Saccharomyces cerevisiae S288C: one gene and its partners. The protein of the gene in region 3 interacts with the protein of the main gene of each other region in a biochemical or structural test. Each region holds a gene or a part of one and is shown on either strand. Other genes may lie near its edges.

The links.
Region 1: the proteins of ACT1 (region 3) and SRV2 form a complex in vitro, tested with the Saccharomyces cerevisiae proteins (5 studies listed by BioGRID).
Region 2: the proteins of ACT1 (region 3) and DLD2 form a complex in vitro, tested with the Saccharomyces cerevisiae proteins (3 studies listed by BioGRID).
Region 4: the proteins of ACT1 (region 3) and COF1 form a complex in vitro, tested with the Saccharomyces cerevisiae proteins (12 studies listed by BioGRID, with this or other methods).

The regions. Positions count from the first base shown.
Region 1 is NC_001146.8:364,059-368,821, reverse strand, and holds SRV2 (adenylate cyclase-binding protein), read right to left. Parts: upstream 2,082-4,763; coding exon 501-2,081; downstream 1-500. Other genes in the region: mitochondrial 37S ribosomal protein uS4m NAM9, read left to right, coding at 1-227; U2 snRNP complex subunit YSF3, read right to left, coding at 2,410-2,664, 2,787-2,789; THO2 (Tho2p), read left to right, coding at 3,105-4,763. UniProt on the Saccharomyces cerevisiae protein: The N-terminal domain binds to adenylyl cyclase, thereby enabling adenylyl cyclase to be activated by upstream regulatory signals, such as Ras. The C-terminal domain is required for normal cellular morphology and growth control.
Region 2 is NC_001136.10:137,381-142,283, reverse strand, and holds DLD2 (D-lactate dehydrogenase), read right to left. Parts: upstream 2,763-4,903; coding exon 1,170-2,762; downstream 1-1,169. Other genes in the region: GID12 (Gid12p), read right to left, coding at 1-187; YDL177C (uncharacterized protein), read left to right, coding at 563-1,075; PCL9 (Pcl9p), read right to left, coding at 3,079-3,993; AIT1 (Ait1p), read right to left, coding at 4,745-4,903.
Region 3 is NC_001138.5:51,898-56,256, forward strand, and holds ACT1 (actin), read right to left. Parts: upstream 2,800-4,359; coding exon 2,790-2,799; intron 2,481-2,789; coding exon 1,363-2,480; downstream 1-1,362. Other genes in the region: YFL040W (uncharacterized protein), read left to right, coding at 1-1,075; Rab family GTPase YPT1, read right to left, coding at 3,469-4,089. UniProt on the Saccharomyces cerevisiae protein: Actins are highly conserved proteins that are involved in various types of cell motility and are ubiquitously expressed in all eukaryotic cells.
Region 4 is NC_001144.5:38,832-42,662, forward strand, and holds COF1 (cofilin), read right to left. Parts: upstream 1,584-3,831; coding exon 1,570-1,583; intron 1,391-1,569; coding exon 973-1,390; downstream 1-972. Other genes in the region: FRE6 (putative ferric-chelate reductase), read right to left, coding at 1-640; LDB18 (Ldb18p), read left to right, coding at 1,835-2,374; bile acid-transporting ATPase YBT1, read right to left, coding at 2,449-3,831. UniProt on the Saccharomyces cerevisiae protein: Controls reversibly actin polymerization and depolymerization in a pH-sensitive manner. It has the ability to bind G- and F-actin in a 1:1 ratio of cofilin to actin. Binding to F-actin is regulated by tropomyosin.

The DNA of each region.
Region 1 (4,763 bases), on a different chromosome or scaffold from region 3:
ATGGTAGGCAAGATCCTAAAAAACCCTTTTTCACACCATGGAAGCCAAGACCATTTTTATCGCCTTTCGCCATTTTACCTCATCATTTGGAAATATCTTTCAAGACATGCCACGCTGTATACCTAAGGGATCCCGTCGCTCGACCAGGCCAATCCGAAGTAATTTCACCATTTGATGTTCCTGTTCATGAACGTGCATATATGTATTACTTGAGAAATGGTAAATGATCGTCGTGTATTGTTGCACGCGTCTTTTGACTGATCTTCAGCCTCTCTTTACACTGTAAATATTTAATTTTTTTTGTTTTTAAGTTCTACTCGAACGATCAAGTAGTCACTTAGTCGCTCCTCGTTTTCCTGTTACTTCTTTAAGAAAAGGTTACACATGAAAAAAAGGTTTTACAAAAAGTATATAATTGTTTATTCATTCACTTTTCTTTCTGATTGATTCAAATGTGATTTATTTCTTTTAACTAAATACAATTAATGCTCCTCGCAATATTAACCAGCATGTTCGAAAACAGCAGATTTGAACTTACCATCAGCGAAGCTATGCTTCATCTGTTCAGGGATTGGGAATTCTACGTAATCATCGTCCTCGCCGATTGGTAAGTTGACGTTAATAGCAGTTGAGCACGAGGTGTAGATTTCAGTATTCAAGGATTCCTTGGATAAATAGATGTTACCGCCGTCAGATTTATCAATGGAGATTTGAGGTAGGGAATGGTTAACTTGAATGCCAAACTTGTTGGATTTGATGACATCCATACCGGAAATGCTAGAATCAAGAACAACACTGCATGACTCAGTTTCACTCAACGAGATAGCGTTAACTTTTCCTTTTATTTGAACAAGAACTTGAGAACATTTACCTATGAAGATAGACTCATCTTTATTTGCATCAATAACCAGAGATTCAGTTTCATTTTCGTAATTCTCAATAAACCATTTGTTTCCTACCAATTCCTTTCTAGGAGGCCTCTTAGTTTTCAATGTTGATGGCTTTTTTGGCCTTGGTGGTGGACCGGATTTACTTCCTGTGGAAGAAACTGTAGAGGATTGACGTAATTCAGGATTTTTGTGAGTTTGTTGGGATTTGTCTACTTTTTTCAAACCCTTAGTGATATTTTCACCCTGATTTAGTTCGGCGAAGACCGCGCCAATACCGCCTTTGTTAGCATCACTACTCGTTGCTGGTGTATCATTAGAGATTTCAAAGACGGAAGCTGGTGGGGCTGGTGGAGGAGGTGGTGGTGCTGGAGCCGCTGTAGCACTTGCTGGCGAAGGAGATGAAGTAGCACCTGTATTCTTCGTTGATTGTGCCATCGCGTCAGCAAAATCCATACCGTCTTTTTTCCAGGAAACCCCAGTAGTATGATACTCTTTAATGTAGGCTTTCAAATTATCGAAAGAGGCCAAAAATTTCTTAACCCATTCAACAGCATTAGGATCAGACTCTCTGTATTCTTTCAAAATTCTATTAGTCCAAAACTGTGCTGCGTCCTTGAAATCTGTGACCATAGACACGGGAGTGTCCACTGCAACCCAGGAGAACAAAGGAGCACCCTCAGATAAAGCGCTCAAATATGCGAAGTATTTGCTTTGACGGTTTGATTCCTTCAATTGACCCAGCTTTATAATATTTTCGTTGATAGGTCTTAAAGAATCAGCGAAAGTTTGAGAAGAATAATCCGGTTTTCTTGATCTCACAGCAGCTCTTAAAAAAGTCAATTGCGATTGAAAGCCTCCCTTTAGCAACTGCAAAGCATCTAAGACCACCGTGTCGATCTTTCCTGATAATTCTACCAGCGGATCAATATTCTCACCGATGTAAGATTGGAACGCAGTTATGCATTTCGGATCTTGTTCTACTTCAGGAGCATTTTCTGCAGAAGGTTCATTCGTAGTATTCGCATCGGCCCCGGAGTCGGAAGGCTTGTTATTTTTAGATGCCTCCAATTTATTCTGAATATAACCTTCTTGATAGATGGTGACATCCTCTAATCTTGCAGTGGCTTCTTCTAGCCTTTTTAATAGCTTAACAAGGTTATAACCTTGCATTGTGTACTTAGAGTCAGGCATGATTCGATTTCACACGGTTGCAACTTGGCCTACTCAATTACGAAAAGTTTCAAGCTGAGTTTTCCCCTATACTACCAAAAGATTTCACTTCTAAATCCCTGTTTATGACTTCACGCGACATGTATAGATCATTTTAAACGATATGAATTGTATACTGTCCCAACATTTTATATCTTTATATAAACATCAAGGTTAATAATGTTCGACAGTTACTAGAATCAATGCCTAAAAGGTTACTGACTGAGTGTGATCTCTACCATAAATCTTGAGAACGACATACGAGGCGTAATTTTATGTAAAAATTATTTATGGATGTGGCTTCAACGTCCTACCTCTCTTCTCGTAAGTAGGCTTTATAGCCAGGGGACATGGATTTCAGGAGGTGAATACGAGTGTCACGTATACTAAGGTCTCCTCGGCTCAATGAAACGTACTCCAAAGATGCGGAGTGGCCTTGTAATGTATTTAGTGTATCGTTTCTCACATTTCTCTGCCACTGTTCTCGTGTAGTGCTCTCATCTCCCAGTCCGATGTACTTTTGTTTGTATATCTTCTGCAACTTCAACTGCCTCTGCTTTTCCGCCTGTTTTGAGTATTAGCATTACGTATAAGCCGCACGGACTTGCACGATTCATCGCAAGCGTAGTTAGTACCATGGTAAAGATGATTTCAATTCAAACTAAAGCGCAATAGAACGTAACATACCATTTCTTTTCTTAATTTCACTGTTTCGAATTGTGTAATATAACCATTTTAGCCACTATTTACATGTTCTGAATGAGAAGGCTTATGTTCTTCTCTTCTTCCCGGGTGACAACGCTAACTTCGGCGTAAGATTTTCCGCTATTTCTTCAATAGCGACATAACGTATGAGAGTTTATGCCCAGGGAACACGTTGATTTAGAAGCAAACACTGTTGCATAAATTATAGGGCTGTGATTTTATCGTCTTTATCTAAAGCATAATAGGGTGAAACGGTTTCAGTTGATACATATTCGCACCAGTATACATTTTCAGGACTTTATGGCAGAACAGACGCTACTTTCCAAATTGAACGCTCTTTCTCAAAAAGTGATACCACCAGCTTCCCCTAGTCAGGCAAGCATTTTAACGGAAGAGGTGATACGAAACTGGCCTGAACGATCAAAAACTCTCTGCTCCGATTTCACTGCACTGGAGTCAAATGATGAAAAGGAAGACTGGTTGAGGACTTTGTTTATTGAACTGTTTGATTTCATAAATAAAAACGATGAAAATTCTCCCCTCAAGCTTTCTGATGTTGCATCATTTACTAATGAATTAGTGAATCATGAAAGGCAAGTGTCCCAGGCTTCCATAGTTGGTAAAATGTTTATCGCCGTCTCAAGCACTGTTCCAAATATAAATGATCTAACAACCATATCATTATGTAAACTAATACCGTCGTTGCATGAAGAATTGTTCAAATTTAGTTGGATATCCTCTAAGCTGCTCAACAAGGAACAAACCACCTTATTAAGGCATTTGTTAAAAAAGTCAAAATACGAACTGAAGAAATATAACCTTTTGGTAGAAAATTCAGTGGGTTATGGTCAATTGGTAGCCTTATTAATATTGGCGTATTATGATCCCGACAATTTTTCCAAAGTGTCCGCATATTTGAAAGAAATCTATCATATTATGGGGAAATATTCCTTGGATTCTATTCGTACTTTAGATGTTATTTTGAACGTTTCTAGTCAGTTTATCACTGAAGGGTACAAGTTCTTTATTGCTCTTTTACGAAAGTCGGATTCTTGGCCATCTAGCCATGTAGCTAACAATTCCAATTATTCTTCTCTTAATGAAGGCGGTAATATGATTGCAGCAAACATTATTTCATTCAATTTATCGCAATATAACGAAGAAGTCGATAAGGAAAACTATGAACGGTATATGGATATGTGTTGCATTTTACTGAAAAATGGGTTTGTCAATTTTTATTCTATTTGGGATAACGTTAAACCAGAGATGGAATTTCTACAAGAATATATTCAAAACTTAGAAACTGAACTGGAAGAGGAGTCCACTAAAGGCGTAGAAAATCCCTTGGCTATGGCAGCTGCTTTGTCCACTGAAAATGAAACTGACGAAGACAACGCCCTTGTTGTAAATGATGATGTTAATATGAAGGATAAAATCTCTGAGGAAACAAACGCTGATATAGAATCAAAAGGCAAGCAGAAAACTCAGCAAGATATTTTATTATTTGGTAAAATAAAACTCTTGGAACGCTTACTCATACATGGTTGCGTTATTCCCGTGATACATGTGTTAAAGCAATATCCGAAAGTGTTATATGTTAGTGAATCCTTATCTAGATATTTGGGAAGAGTATTTGAATATCTTTTAAATCCATTGTACACATCAATGACCTCATCTGGTGAATCAAAAGATATGGCAACTGCTTTGATGATAACCCGTATAGATAATGGTATTCTAGCCCATAAGCCAAGGTTGATCCATAAATATAAAACTCACGAGCCATTTGAATCCCTTGAATTGAATTCAAGCTACGTCTTCTATTACAGCGAGTGGAATTCCAATTTGACTCCTTTTGCTTCTGTAAATGATCTATTTGAAAACTCGCATATCTATTTATCTATCATAGGACCGTATTTGGGGAGAATTCCTACGCTTTTGAGTAAGATTTCACGTATTGGG
Region 2 (4,903 bases), on a different chromosome or scaffold from region 3:
CTCTACCATTAGGCCTTAAATAACAAAACGCTTGTATATTTGCATTCACATCTACTTTTGTACAACCTCTTTCTGATGGGACCAGTGCTAATCGATCGTTTTTAAATTCAAATAACCTATAACCAGACGGTTTACCCTTAGTATTGCAGGGAGTAGAAACAGCAAATTGAATCCTGCCAGTAGCCATCGATAACAAAATGTTCAGATTATGTGGAAAGACGCTTTCTGCGTGTATTTAACAACTCAAAGTAAAACCTATCTTAACCTGGTTTTGTTCTATTAGATGCCATTCAACTATGGGGAAGGTATATTTGGATGTTTGTTAGCAATTTTCAGGAAGGCAAGTACTTAATACCGATCAGCTTACTATTGTTTTTGACCTTAGAGCTCTTTTCAACAAAGCTTCGCATTGTGAAAAGCAGACCCAAAACGGCAACTGAGAAAATACGGCACTGTGGAAATAAGTCATGCATCAATCATCAGCTGTAAAAAACCTTTAGAAAAGACATTATACAGATTCTTAGATAGGTATTGATGTTTGGTATTACTATTTTTTGGAGAAATGAGTAAGAATGTTGGTAAGCTAGTGAAAATATGGAATGAATCAGAAGTTTTAGTTGATAGAAAATCGAAATTTCAAGCAAGATGTTGCCCATTACAAAATCAAAAGGATATACCCTCCATACTCCAAGAACTAACGCAAAACAACAAAAGCGTCTCCAAGGCATCCCACATGCACATGTATGCCTGGAGAACGGCCGAGGTATCAAATAATTTGCACTTACAACAAGAGCAGAAAAAGAAGGGCAATAAAGCAAATAAGAGTAATAATAGTCATGTTAACAAGTCAAGGAACATAACGGTGCAGCCAAAGAACATTGAGCAAGGATGTGCTGACTGTGGCGAAGCTGGTGCTGGACAGCGTTTATTGACCTTACTTGAAAGAGCAAACATATTCAACGTCTTGGTAATAGTGACCAGATGGTATGGTGGCACGCCTTTGGGCTCATCAAGATTCAGACACATTTCAACATGTGCAGTGGAAACCTTAAAGAAGGGTGGATTTCTTCCTTAAATATCACCCTTACCATATAATATACACAATTGTAGAATATAATATTGATAAATATATACATATGTAGATAACTATAAAACTTGGCATTTTATTTTCAAATGTATTTGTAAGGGTTTAAAATTCCATTAGGATCATAATGAACCTTCAAATCCTTCATCATCTTGACCTCTTCCGGGCTCTTAGAATAGCCAATGTAATTTTTCTTTTGGAAACCTAGCCCATGTTCGGCACTAACGGAACCATGTTTTGAGGAAACAAACTCGTAGACAAATGGTTCCAAAGTCTTTTCAATGTTCTTGTTGTACTCTCTAACTGCAACATTTAAGTGTAGATTACCATCACCCACGTGACCGTATCCAATGGCGCCCACCACTGGTTTGGGCGAATCACCCACTAATTCAGCTTCAGAAAGTCTTGCATTAGTGGCTTCAACCAAAGAATATAGGTCCTTTAGTGGTAAAGAAACATCGTATTTGTAAACACCACCATTAGCTTGACTTGCCTCTGGAATCATTTCTCTCCACTTCCACAAGTTTTGGAGTTCGGTTTCATCTTGTGCCACTACACCATCCGTTACTATGCCCTCTTCCATGACGTTTTCTAAAAATGTTTCAAGTTTGGAATCATCGTGATCTTTGTTTGACCCTGACGTTTCGATAAGAATATAAAATGGATGCTCATCCTCCAAAGGGAAGGCAGCATCCTTCAATTGGCTCTTGGCCAATACTTGAGATTTAGCATCCATAAATTCAAAAGCGGATAAAATCTCAGATAATTCTTGCCTGGCTCTGACGAAGACTTTTTGAACGTCTTCAAAACTTTCAACAGACAAGTAAGATACATTAAACGCTTTTGGCTTAGGAACAGTCAAGATTGAAACACCAGTGATGATACCGATAGTACCTTCTGAGCCAATGAACAGCTGTTTCAGATCATAACCGGTGTTGTCTTTTCTCATGGAATGCATGCTATTAACAATTTGACCATTGGGCATTACCACCTCTAAGCCTAAAACGCTTCCATGTAGTGAGCCATAACGCAATAACCTTAGTCCTCCAGCGTTGGTTGCAACCACGCCACCAACATGGCAGGAACCTTTAGCTCCCAGATCCAACGGAAACATATAATTTTGTTCCATTACGTAATTGTTAGCATTTTCCAAGATTACACCAGCATCACACTTCAAGATACCTGATACAGGGTCAAAATCTCTTATTTTGTTTAAATTTGCTAAAGATAGAATTAATTCATCAAAAATGGGCACAGAACCACCTACCAACCCCGTGTTACCGCCTTGTGGGACAACGGCAATTTTTTCATCATTACAATAATTTAAGATTAAAGAAACTTTTTCCACTGACTTAGGTCTCAATACTAACTTGGACTGTCCTTTGTACTTTCTCATCCAATCTTCATTATAAAATGAAAGATCCTCTGATTCGCTGGCTCTTAATATTTCTTGTTCCGATAAAATAGATTTAAAATAATTTAGATCATCGGACGTTAATTTTTTGAATCTAGGGTCTCGATGCACGTCTGGATAGTTTTCGCTAGTCAGTCTGGTTTGTATCTTGGTCGAATAATAGTTAACTCTTCTATAGTATCCTAAAAGAGCTGATGATTTCATATATCTGCCAGCAAATTTGAAATTGCTGCCAGTACTTCTCACCAAAATGTTTCTTAGCATCTTGTTATATGCCACTTGTAGTGCTGGATTAATGTCTGTAAAATAAAGAGAAGAAGTTGTCAATGCATTTATTACCACTTTTTCAGAGTCAGATAGATTTTGAATTATATAACCTGTCAAAATGAAAAAAACTCGGCCGATATTCCTCGAGAAACAAGACGAATGCCAAGAGTATTCATTATTAGATATTTGTTTATGTAGTATGGTGTTTTTTTAGTAGCCTAGAAACGATGGTTATTCATATTGTACAAAGTTAAGACAACTAAAGAACGGAAAAGAATATTTATAGAGCTTGTAAAAGGCGAGTAACTTAGAATTATTGCTTGAAAAACGATGACCAGCCCCTCCTTGTAAAATTTAACCGTTGGTGAATTGTGGGCTTATGCGACATTACTGGTGAACTTCCCATTGTTACATCAATATGGTTTACTGAGTGTATGTTTTCCTCTGCCCTGAAATTATTACAGATATCGTTATTATTCCTTAACGGCACATGATTTTTTTTGTTGAAGTTGTCAGATTCCACCAACGGTAGGGACGGTTGGTATTTTGCCAGTAGAGAAGACCTTGAGTCTGTTGTCGAAACTGTTGCCATGGATGTCAGTGAAGGAACCGATATAGCAGAAGAAGTTCTAGAATGCGAAACCGGTCTTCTATGATTTATATATTCTTTCAGTTGGCCGGGACTTGGTGCATTGAACAACAGCATTTCTTGTCTCCTTTGTAAAAATAGTTGTTCCTTGATAGGCCCGAGGAAGTAAGAAAGAGAATCAATCAAATCCGGTGTAGTTATCCTCACATCCCAATTTAAATATTCTAATAGTTCTCGTTCGATGGTATTCACCTCACGTATTCTGAGTAAACCTTCTGTGTACGTGGTCCAGTGTTTGTTCCAGGGAGAAGAATCGTTCAGAGTTTTGGCAGCTAATATCAAGCATCCGAGAAATATCCGATGTCTTGTGGTGTTAATACCGTACACATTTTTTGGTATTACGCTTTTCAGTTTGTTTAAATAAACTGATGTGGCCATTAAAGTTGGTGTTTGAACATTTGACTGAATTACCACGTTTTTAATGAAGATAGATAAGTCTGGTGGGCGACATCCTTGGATTGGATTATTATTTTCCCTGATTTTAATTATGGAAGCAGTAGAAGTGGCTAAGAACTGAATCATTTCTTGCGAAACAGGTTTTTTGTTGAATTGCAAAAGAGCATCGTAGTCAGAAATCATCTCTTTGTGCGTATTTCTTCAGAATTAATAATGCTGTTACCGAAACAAGTTTTCTTGTCCTTTCTTTGCGTATATCCACTTAAATATATGTTATTAGAGATCTATGAATGTCGATGCACTCTTCTACTGACCGCAAGCTGCCCAAATGCTTAAATACAGAAGCAAAGAGACACATATTTACCACGTTGCATGAATGTCCAAACTCACTGCACCGTTAAACAGAATTATAATAAGCAAGGCTTGACTACTTGTCCCTTGTAAGATTATCTACTTGAGCTGGTTTTTTTTTAGTGCAGCAATAAAAAAAAAAATTAGTGACGCTGGTTTCCGCGCAGCGCTAATTTAAGAATTTTCAATATTGCCAACAAATTTTATCTTGGCAGTTATGAATGGAGGCCAAATTGTAGCATACAGTGTGAGCTCCATATTGCCAACAAATTTTATCTTGGCAGTTATGAATGGAGGCCAAATTGTAGCATACAGTGTGAGCTCCATATTGAATGATGCATGATCTATTTTCTTTTGGACAAATTTCTACCTTGCATAACCTTTGATTGATGAACCACTGATGTAGTTAAACTTTTAAAGTAGGGTTAAAATGTCCCTTTAATATATTTTTATAATTACTTACAGATTGTTGTTCTTATGTAAATTTTATTATTAAGCTCCACCTCCCCTAAAGTAAAATGGATAACATAAAGATTTTTCAAGATATGAACACCCTAATATGTGCACGGTCGTTACTTATATGCTATATATAAACTGTTGAAAGTATTCCCGTTACAAAAACAAGAAGACTCCAAGAAACCATTACTCCAAGTACAAAAGAATCATTTCTTGCCAAAGCCCTCCAATTTTTGACTAGCTTCTTGCAGAATCTTAGTAAAGCGGAGTCGTTGGTCATATCATC
Region 3 (4,359 bases):
TTTTGCGTTCCGTATAGCGTGGTGCATAGGAATCATTCCTGGATTACTGTTCTGGATGGCTAGCTACGCTCTACCTGAATCTTATCACTGGCTAGTACTACATGGGAAGATGAGTGAAGCTCAGGAAATTCAGCACAATTTAGCCAAAAAGTTTAATGAAAGCCAGCCAAGGGATGCAGTCCCTGAGATGAGTAAGATCGAATTAGCAGGAGATTTTTGGATTGGAGTTAATGATTTGGACTTCTCCAAAAAATTACCTCGGGGTTCGTTTAAGCCTTTGATTCTTGGAATGACTTTACAGTTATTGGTTCAATTTAGCGGTATAAACATTATCCTTGGTTATATTACATACATTTGCGAGATTGTAGGGCTTGAAGGCAATGTAAAACTATTCACCAGTTCCATTCCATATTTCATCAACATGGTTTTGAGCTTGTTACCGATTACATTCATTGATTACACTAGCAGAAAGCTAATTACCTTGTTGGGTGGCTTTCCCATTAGTGGGTTGCTCATTACAATCGGCGCATTATTTGTGAAGTATGGTCAAGACACCAAGCCCATCGACGGCAATAGGAGTTTAGTTTGGTCAATTGGAGAAAACCCGTTTGTGGGAGGATGGATTCTAACTTTATGCTTTCTAATTGTTGGAATATTTGCCATGAGCCTTTCCAGTATACCTTGGGTTTACACGAATGAAATGTTGCCCTCACGAGTGAAAGTTAAGGGATTTGCCATTTGCGTAACGTTTGGATGGTTGGGCAATTTTATTTTAACGTTTCTATGCCCTGTGATGATTGAAAGATTAAAAGGCACAACATTTATAATATTTGGATCTTTGACATTCTTGATATCACTTTCAGTTTTGATTTGGTTCCCAGAAACAAAGGGTATGAGCATAGAAGATATTGATAAATTCTTCGAATTTGAGAGTAAAGAGGGCACCAATTTACATGGGGAAAAGGGTATCAAAACGCCGGACTCAAATTCTAATGGCGGTTCTACAAGATCCTCCCAAGAAGGGCAATTGCATAAACCTATAAAACTGAAAAGCGATGAAGAGATGATCATATGATACACGGTCCAATGGATAAACATTTTTTATCAACACTATGATATATAAATATAATAGTTTTTCGTATATATATTCCTTTTTTTGGTCAATTTTTGAAATTTTCGTAGAAAAGGGAGAGACAAAACACATTATATCAATGAAAACGTACAAAAAGTAGATAAAGTCAGTGCTTAAACACGTCTTTTCCTTAAAAATACTTTATTATTTTTATTTTATTGAGAGGGTGGTTTAAAAATAGAAATAGAGAGAGAGGTACATACATAAACATACGCGCACAAAAGCAGAGATTAGAAACACTTGTGGTGAACGATAGATGGACCACTTTCGTCGTATTCTTGTTTTGAGATCCACATTTGTTGGAAGGTAGTCAAAGAAGCCAAGATAGAACCACCAATCCAGACGGAGTACTTTCTTTCTGGAGGAGCAATGATCTTGACCTTCATGGAAGATGGAGCCAAAGCGGTGATTTCCTTTTGCATTCTTTCGGCAATACCTGGGAACATGGTGGTACCACCGGACATAACGATGTTACCGTATAATTCCTTACGGACATCGACATCACACTTCATGATGGAGTTGTAAGTAGTTTGGTCAATACCGGCAGATTCCAAACCCAAAACAGAAGGATGGAACAAAGCTTCTGGGGCTCTGAATCTTTCGTTACCAATAGTGATGACTTGACCATCTGGAAGTTCGTAGGATTTTTCAATTGAAGAAGATTGAGCAGCGGTTTGCATTTCTTGTTCGAAGTCCAAGGCGACGTAACATAGTTTTTCCTTGATGTCACGGACAATTTCTCTTTCAGCAGTGGTGGAGAAAGAGTAACCACGTTCACTCAAGATCTTCATCAAGTAGTCAGTCAAATCTCTACCGGCCAAATCGATTCTCAAAATGGCGTGAGGTAGAGAGAAACCAGCGTAAATTGGAACGACGTGAGTAACACCATCACCGGAATCCAAAACAATACCAGTAGTTCTACCGGAAGAGTACAAGGACAAAACGGCTTGGATGGAAACGTAGAAGGCTGGAACGTTGAAAGTTTCAAACATAATTTGAGTCATCTTTTCTCTGTTTGATTTAGGGTTCATTGGAGCTTCAGTCAAAAGAACAGGGTGTTCTTCTGGGGCAACTCTCAATTCGTTGTAGAAGGTATGATGCCAGATCTTTTCCATATCGTCCCAGTTGGTGACAATACCGTGTTCAATTGGGTAACGTAAAGTCAAGATACCTCTCTTGGATTGAGCTTCATCACCAACGTAGGAGTCTTTTTGACCCATACCGACCATGATACCTTGGTGTCTTGGTCTACCGACGATAGATGGGAAGACAGCACGAGGAGCGTCGTCACCGGCAAAACCGGCTTTACACATACCAGAACCGTTATCAATAACCAAAGCAGCAACCTCTAAACATATAATATAGCAACAAAAAGAATGAAGCAATCGATGTTAGTACATGAGACTTAGTAACAGTAGCAAATAAAAGAAGAATATCACTATCACTTATCACGAAAATATTTCAGTTTTTTTTTTTTTTCCAAATTTCAAGCCCCTATTTATTCCAATAATATCGTGGTTATTACAGATCAGTCAATATAGGAGGTTATGGGAGAGTGAAAAATAGTAAAAAAAGGTAAAAGAGAAATCTCTCGAGCAATTGGGACCGTGCAATTCTTCTTACAGTTAAATGGGATGGTGCAAGCGCTAGAACATACCAGAATCCATTGTTAATTCAGTAAATTTTCGATCTTGGGAAGAAAAAAGCAGTAAGCGTGAAAAATCTAAAAGCTGATGTAGTAGAAGATCCTATTCTTTAACAAAGATTGACCTTTTCTTTTTCTTCTTGGTTTGAGTAGAAAGGGGAAGGAAGAATACAAGAGAGAGGAAAAAAAGGAAGATAAAAAGAGAGCGTGATATAAATGAATATATATTAAACAAGAGAGATTGGGAAGGAAAGGATCAAACAAACCCAAAAATATTTCAAAAAGGAGAGAGAGAGGCGAGTTTGGTTTCAAAACGGTTTATTTATTTATGCAAGAGGACGTGGAAGAAAAAGAAGAAGGAAGAAAAAAATTTGAAAGAAAAAAACGCGTGGCGGGTAAAGAAGAAAATGGAAAATAGAGGCCGGGTGACAGAGAAATATTGAGGGTTAATTGGAAAATATGTTAGGGTGAGGCATATGTTTTTAAGGGTTTTGAGGATCCGATAAGGAAGAATGTAGGTTAAATGTTGTGCATTAATTGCTGTGGCAGCTTACCCGCTTCCCCACACATTTTGGTAGTATCTGTCCTCTTGTTATTGTTACTGTAATTGTGTATATATGTTCTCGCGTGTGTCTTATTTACTTATTTAGTTATTATATTATATGGGTCTGCAAGGTAGAGGCGCGCTTGTTCAACAGCAGCCCCCACCGGTGTTGGTTAAACTCTGTCCCTTCAGGTTGACGTTCCCTTTGTCTTCCTTCTTCTGAGTGGTTTCGTTCAGGTTTTGTTGGGACATACTTTCCTTGATTTGTCTAGCCATGGTTAAAAACGCATCCTCGACGTTGGTGGAGTCCAAAGCACTAGTCTCTAAGAACGGCATCTTATTCGCGTCCGCAAATTCCTTTGCCACGTCATATTCCACGACACGCTTGTCCTTTAAATCACACTTGTTACCTACCAATAGCTTCAACACTGTTGAGGTTGCATACCGATCAATCTCTTGCAGCCACATCTTCACGCCGTTGAAGGATTCTTGGTCAGTGACATCATACACGATAATGATCCCATGCGAACCACGGTAGTAAGATGAAGTGATAGTACGGAAACGTTCTTGACCTGCAGTGTCCCAAATCTGTAGCTTTACAGTCTTGCCGTCCAGTTCTACAGTCTTAATCTTGAAGTCCACTCCAATTGTGGAGATGTAGTCGTTGGTATATGTGTCGTCCGAAAACCTCAAAAGTAAACAGGACTTCCCGACACCGGAATTCCCGATCAACAGCAGTTTGAACAGGTAATCGTACTCGCTATTCATATTAGTGCTTTTCTTGTTTTATTTATTTCAACCTGGGCCTAACAGTAAAGATATCCTCCTCAAAACTGGTGCACTTAATCGCTGAATTTGTTCTGGCTTCTCTTCTTTTTCTTTATTCCCCCCATGGGCCAAAAAAAATAGTACTATCAGGAATTTGGCGCCGGGTCACGATATACGTGTACAGTGACCTAGGCGACGCCACAAGGAAAAAGGAAAAAAACAGAAAAAACAACAAAAACTAAAACAAACACGAAAACTTTAATAGATCTA
Region 4 (3,831 bases), on a different chromosome or scaffold from region 3:
CAAAATGGCCCCGAATATAATTGACGAACCGGCTTGCAAATAGCGCTCGATTCAGGCCGTTATAGTGACTCATATGGAAGAAGACGGCGATAATACCCACTATGACGAAGTAGTAAGTTAAATATGCACCATAAACACTGCTGATATCTAAATTATAGGCATGCGCATGAAAAGCTCGTATCCATCTAGATCTTGTCTCACGATCGACTCGAATGGATGTCGATAAACTTTCAATAGAACCATAGTCTTCCAAAGCGTGAGAAGAAGCATTATTTAAAGATGAGTAGTATTGCTCCAGTGAAATATTGCTAAACTTTTTATCGACAAACGAGCACGTTTTTCGTACGTTACCCAAGCTTTCTTCGAAACTTGTGTTGTCCATGGGAATAATCTGGTCTGTAAGCGAATTGAAGATACAAAGTGACCAAGTATCAAACGCTGGTGAATAAGAGCATATGGTAGAATAGAAACCCGGTACGACGGAGCTATCAAATGACCACTTCAGAGTATTTATATAGGATGCGCATGCCAGCACAGCGTTGGATTCCAAATGGTCTTTTTTTTCAGTGTGTGGTAATTTTATATTAAAAGCCTTTGTTAAAGATATCAGCCACGTTAAAAACAGAAGCGTTCTATGCATATTCAACGAGCTATGGTCGTCATGCTTCACTTTAGAAGATTATAGAAAAATCATTGCTGCCTGGTTCGATGACCTTGTATCTTTTCTTGATCTACATGGCCAGTATTTCCGTTCTGAATTTAGAATTACAAATATGGGTGCAAAAACAATGCCCACTAGCCGGGGTGTACGGGACCTTAAATCTAAGTATTGTGTTTTAGATAGAGTTGCGAAGAGAAAATTATAATTATAATAATTCTATACATGTATTCTGTATATATATGACGATTTTATATATAGATATACATTTTCATTTTTCTTGAAGATTGTTGTCATTTGTGAAATCATTTACCTTAATGAGAACCAGCGCCTCTGCTGACTCTTTCCAAAACAGAATCGTAAGAAACTTCGGAAAAATCAGTACCTTGAACATCGGTAGAGACACCGTTTAAGGCTCTTCTTAAGGCATCCTTGGAGGATGCATAGACCATCTTAGATCTGACTGGAGCAGTGTCTGGAGACCAAGTGAAGAAAACAATCTTGGATCTCTTACCTTCATTACCATTAATTTCGTATTCAAAATCGTAAATGGCGTAAAGACAGTCGTTTTCTGGCAATTTCTCTAAGAAGGCATCGTAAGATGGGTCAGTAGAGGTTTCCTTGACAACGATTTCGGTTTTAGCATCGTTCAATCCGAATAAAATAAATTTGTATTTTTTACCCAATTTCAAGTCATTGAAAGCGGTAAGGGATTCATCAGCAACAGCAACACTACACAGAAACTTCACATTTTCCTGGCTTCTTATGAATTTTTTCCCCCACATTCCTTTTAAAGTTCCATGTTAAAAAGGGAGGAAAGAAAGGACATAAGAGAGCGAGATAAAACAGCATCATGTCAATTAGTTAGTAATTGATAGTTTACACAGGAGTACAAATGAAATTTAGCATACCCAGATCTAGACATCTTCTTTTGTTAGTTTTTTGTTTATGTATGTTTTGAAATCTGAAGTTTACGTAGTTGCTAACCAGTCTTTTCTTGTTTCCTCTTTTTCTTCCAATTTTGTCATCAAACAGGGGCGGCGTCACCCGAATATTGTTCTTATTACCCGGATATTAGGTAATTTAGAGGTACTGCATATAGTATAAGTGATTGATGAACTTATAGAATGTTCTCTCGAGCTTCCAAGGCCATTAGCCTCTACCAAAGGAAGTTTGATGCCTGGTCTTAAGCTTGTTGAAGCTTTAGAATACAGGTGTGACCGATTGGAGCGGCTTATAGGCGCCGGATACAGCGCGAATTCCGATGTTTCAGTGCAATTAGATGAACTATACAATCAGTTACATCGTCTATATTTCCAGGGTCTAAAGTATTCTCAAGATCTCCTGCAACTCTTTAATACTTTCATGGCTGAAGACATCGAGAACGTGGGAGCTCCTGATGATATTTGTATTTTTGCTAGTTGCTTTGACGATATTTATACATTATATAGTGCATTTGACGAACTAAACAGCCAATATATGGAGTTTTGCCAAATCAGTAAAAGTTCATTGGATCAGATTTCCTTCAAAGACGCAAATATTGAAACGAAACAGTTGAAGAAGTTACCCGAGTTGGTGGATAACTGCAACATAATGATTTTGAGGTCAATTGCAATTCTAAACCGTTTCATCGACTGGAATATTGAAGTTAACGGATTCTTCCAGTTCCAGAAAAAGAGGCTGTTGAATTTACAAAAGGTAATTTATAGTACGTGAACATGTGTGCGTATATACATATATATATATATATATATATATATATATATATATATACTTTAGCATCGAAACAGCTAGTCCTTTTTAGAGTTCAATTTTTCCACAAAGGCTTTTTTAGCCAATTCAATTAGGATATCCAATTCTCCACTATGCTCACACATGCTATAAAAGGCACTTTGTTTGTTAAGTAACAAAGAATATGGGTGATCATACTCTTTTACCTCACCTGCATCCATCACCAAAATTTTATCATAATCGATAACAGATCTCAACCTATGTGCAATTGTCAAAATTGTACTACCTTGGAACTCTTTTCTTATGGTTTCTTGGATCTTCGCATCGGAACTGTAGTCGATGGACGCTGTAGCTTCGTCCAGCAATATGATCTTTGGACTCCTCAGTAAAGATCTAGCAAGGCACATCAATTGGCGCTGTCCTTGAGACAAATTGGATCCACCTTCGCTAATTTCACTACTTAAATCCAAGAATTTATTAACATTTTCGGAGTTAGTCGACGAAGCCTCATTGCTTGTTTCTCTTGTGGCGCCTTGTTGTAATTGTTCTTCACTAATTAGATTTACACGTTTCAAAGCTTCAAAGATCTGTCTGTCACTAAATTCATCATATGGGTCTAGGTTTGTTTTAATCGTCCCTGAGAATAGTGTTGGATCTTGTGGAATAATAGTTATAGAACGACGCAGTCTTTGTAAATCAACACCGGAAATATCGATATTATCAATTTTGATATGGCCTGTCTCAGGTTCCAAAAATCTGAACAAGGCGGTAATAATAGTTGATTTACCGGCACCGGTTCTACCAACAATACCGATCTTAGACTGAGCGTCGACAGAAAATGAAACATTTTTAATTACTCTAGGTAGATTTGGAGCATACCGTAATGATAAATCATTAACCTCGATTTTACCGTCTTGTGGCCATTGTGGTGGCGGTATTTCTTTGTGTTCGTTGTATGGCTCTTGCTCAATTTCCATATATTCTTTGACTCTTTCAACAGAATTCATATTCATCTCCACTTCAGAGTACAATCTTACCAACCACAATGCCCCTTCAGTGAAGGAAATAGCATACGTCAAAGATATACCAGCCATACCCGAATCCAGATTATTAATATTGAATAGAATGAACAAACCAGCTCCAAAAATGACCAAGGATCCAATCATATCTATCCTAAAGGCCAACCAACGATTAGCAACCCACAAGTAGAAGAATGGTTTATTATTTTCATCAATTTTGTGTAAATTCTCTTGCATAAACCTCCCTTCATCACCAAACGCACGAATGGTGGTAACACCGACAAGAGTCTCGGAAAAATGTTGATAGATCGGTGATCTAGAAATAGATTCAAATCTTTTCAATTCACGAGAACCTGCCATGTAGAAATACCCAACAAAATAATACAATATTGAAACAACTATAGCAACAGATAAGAACTGTGG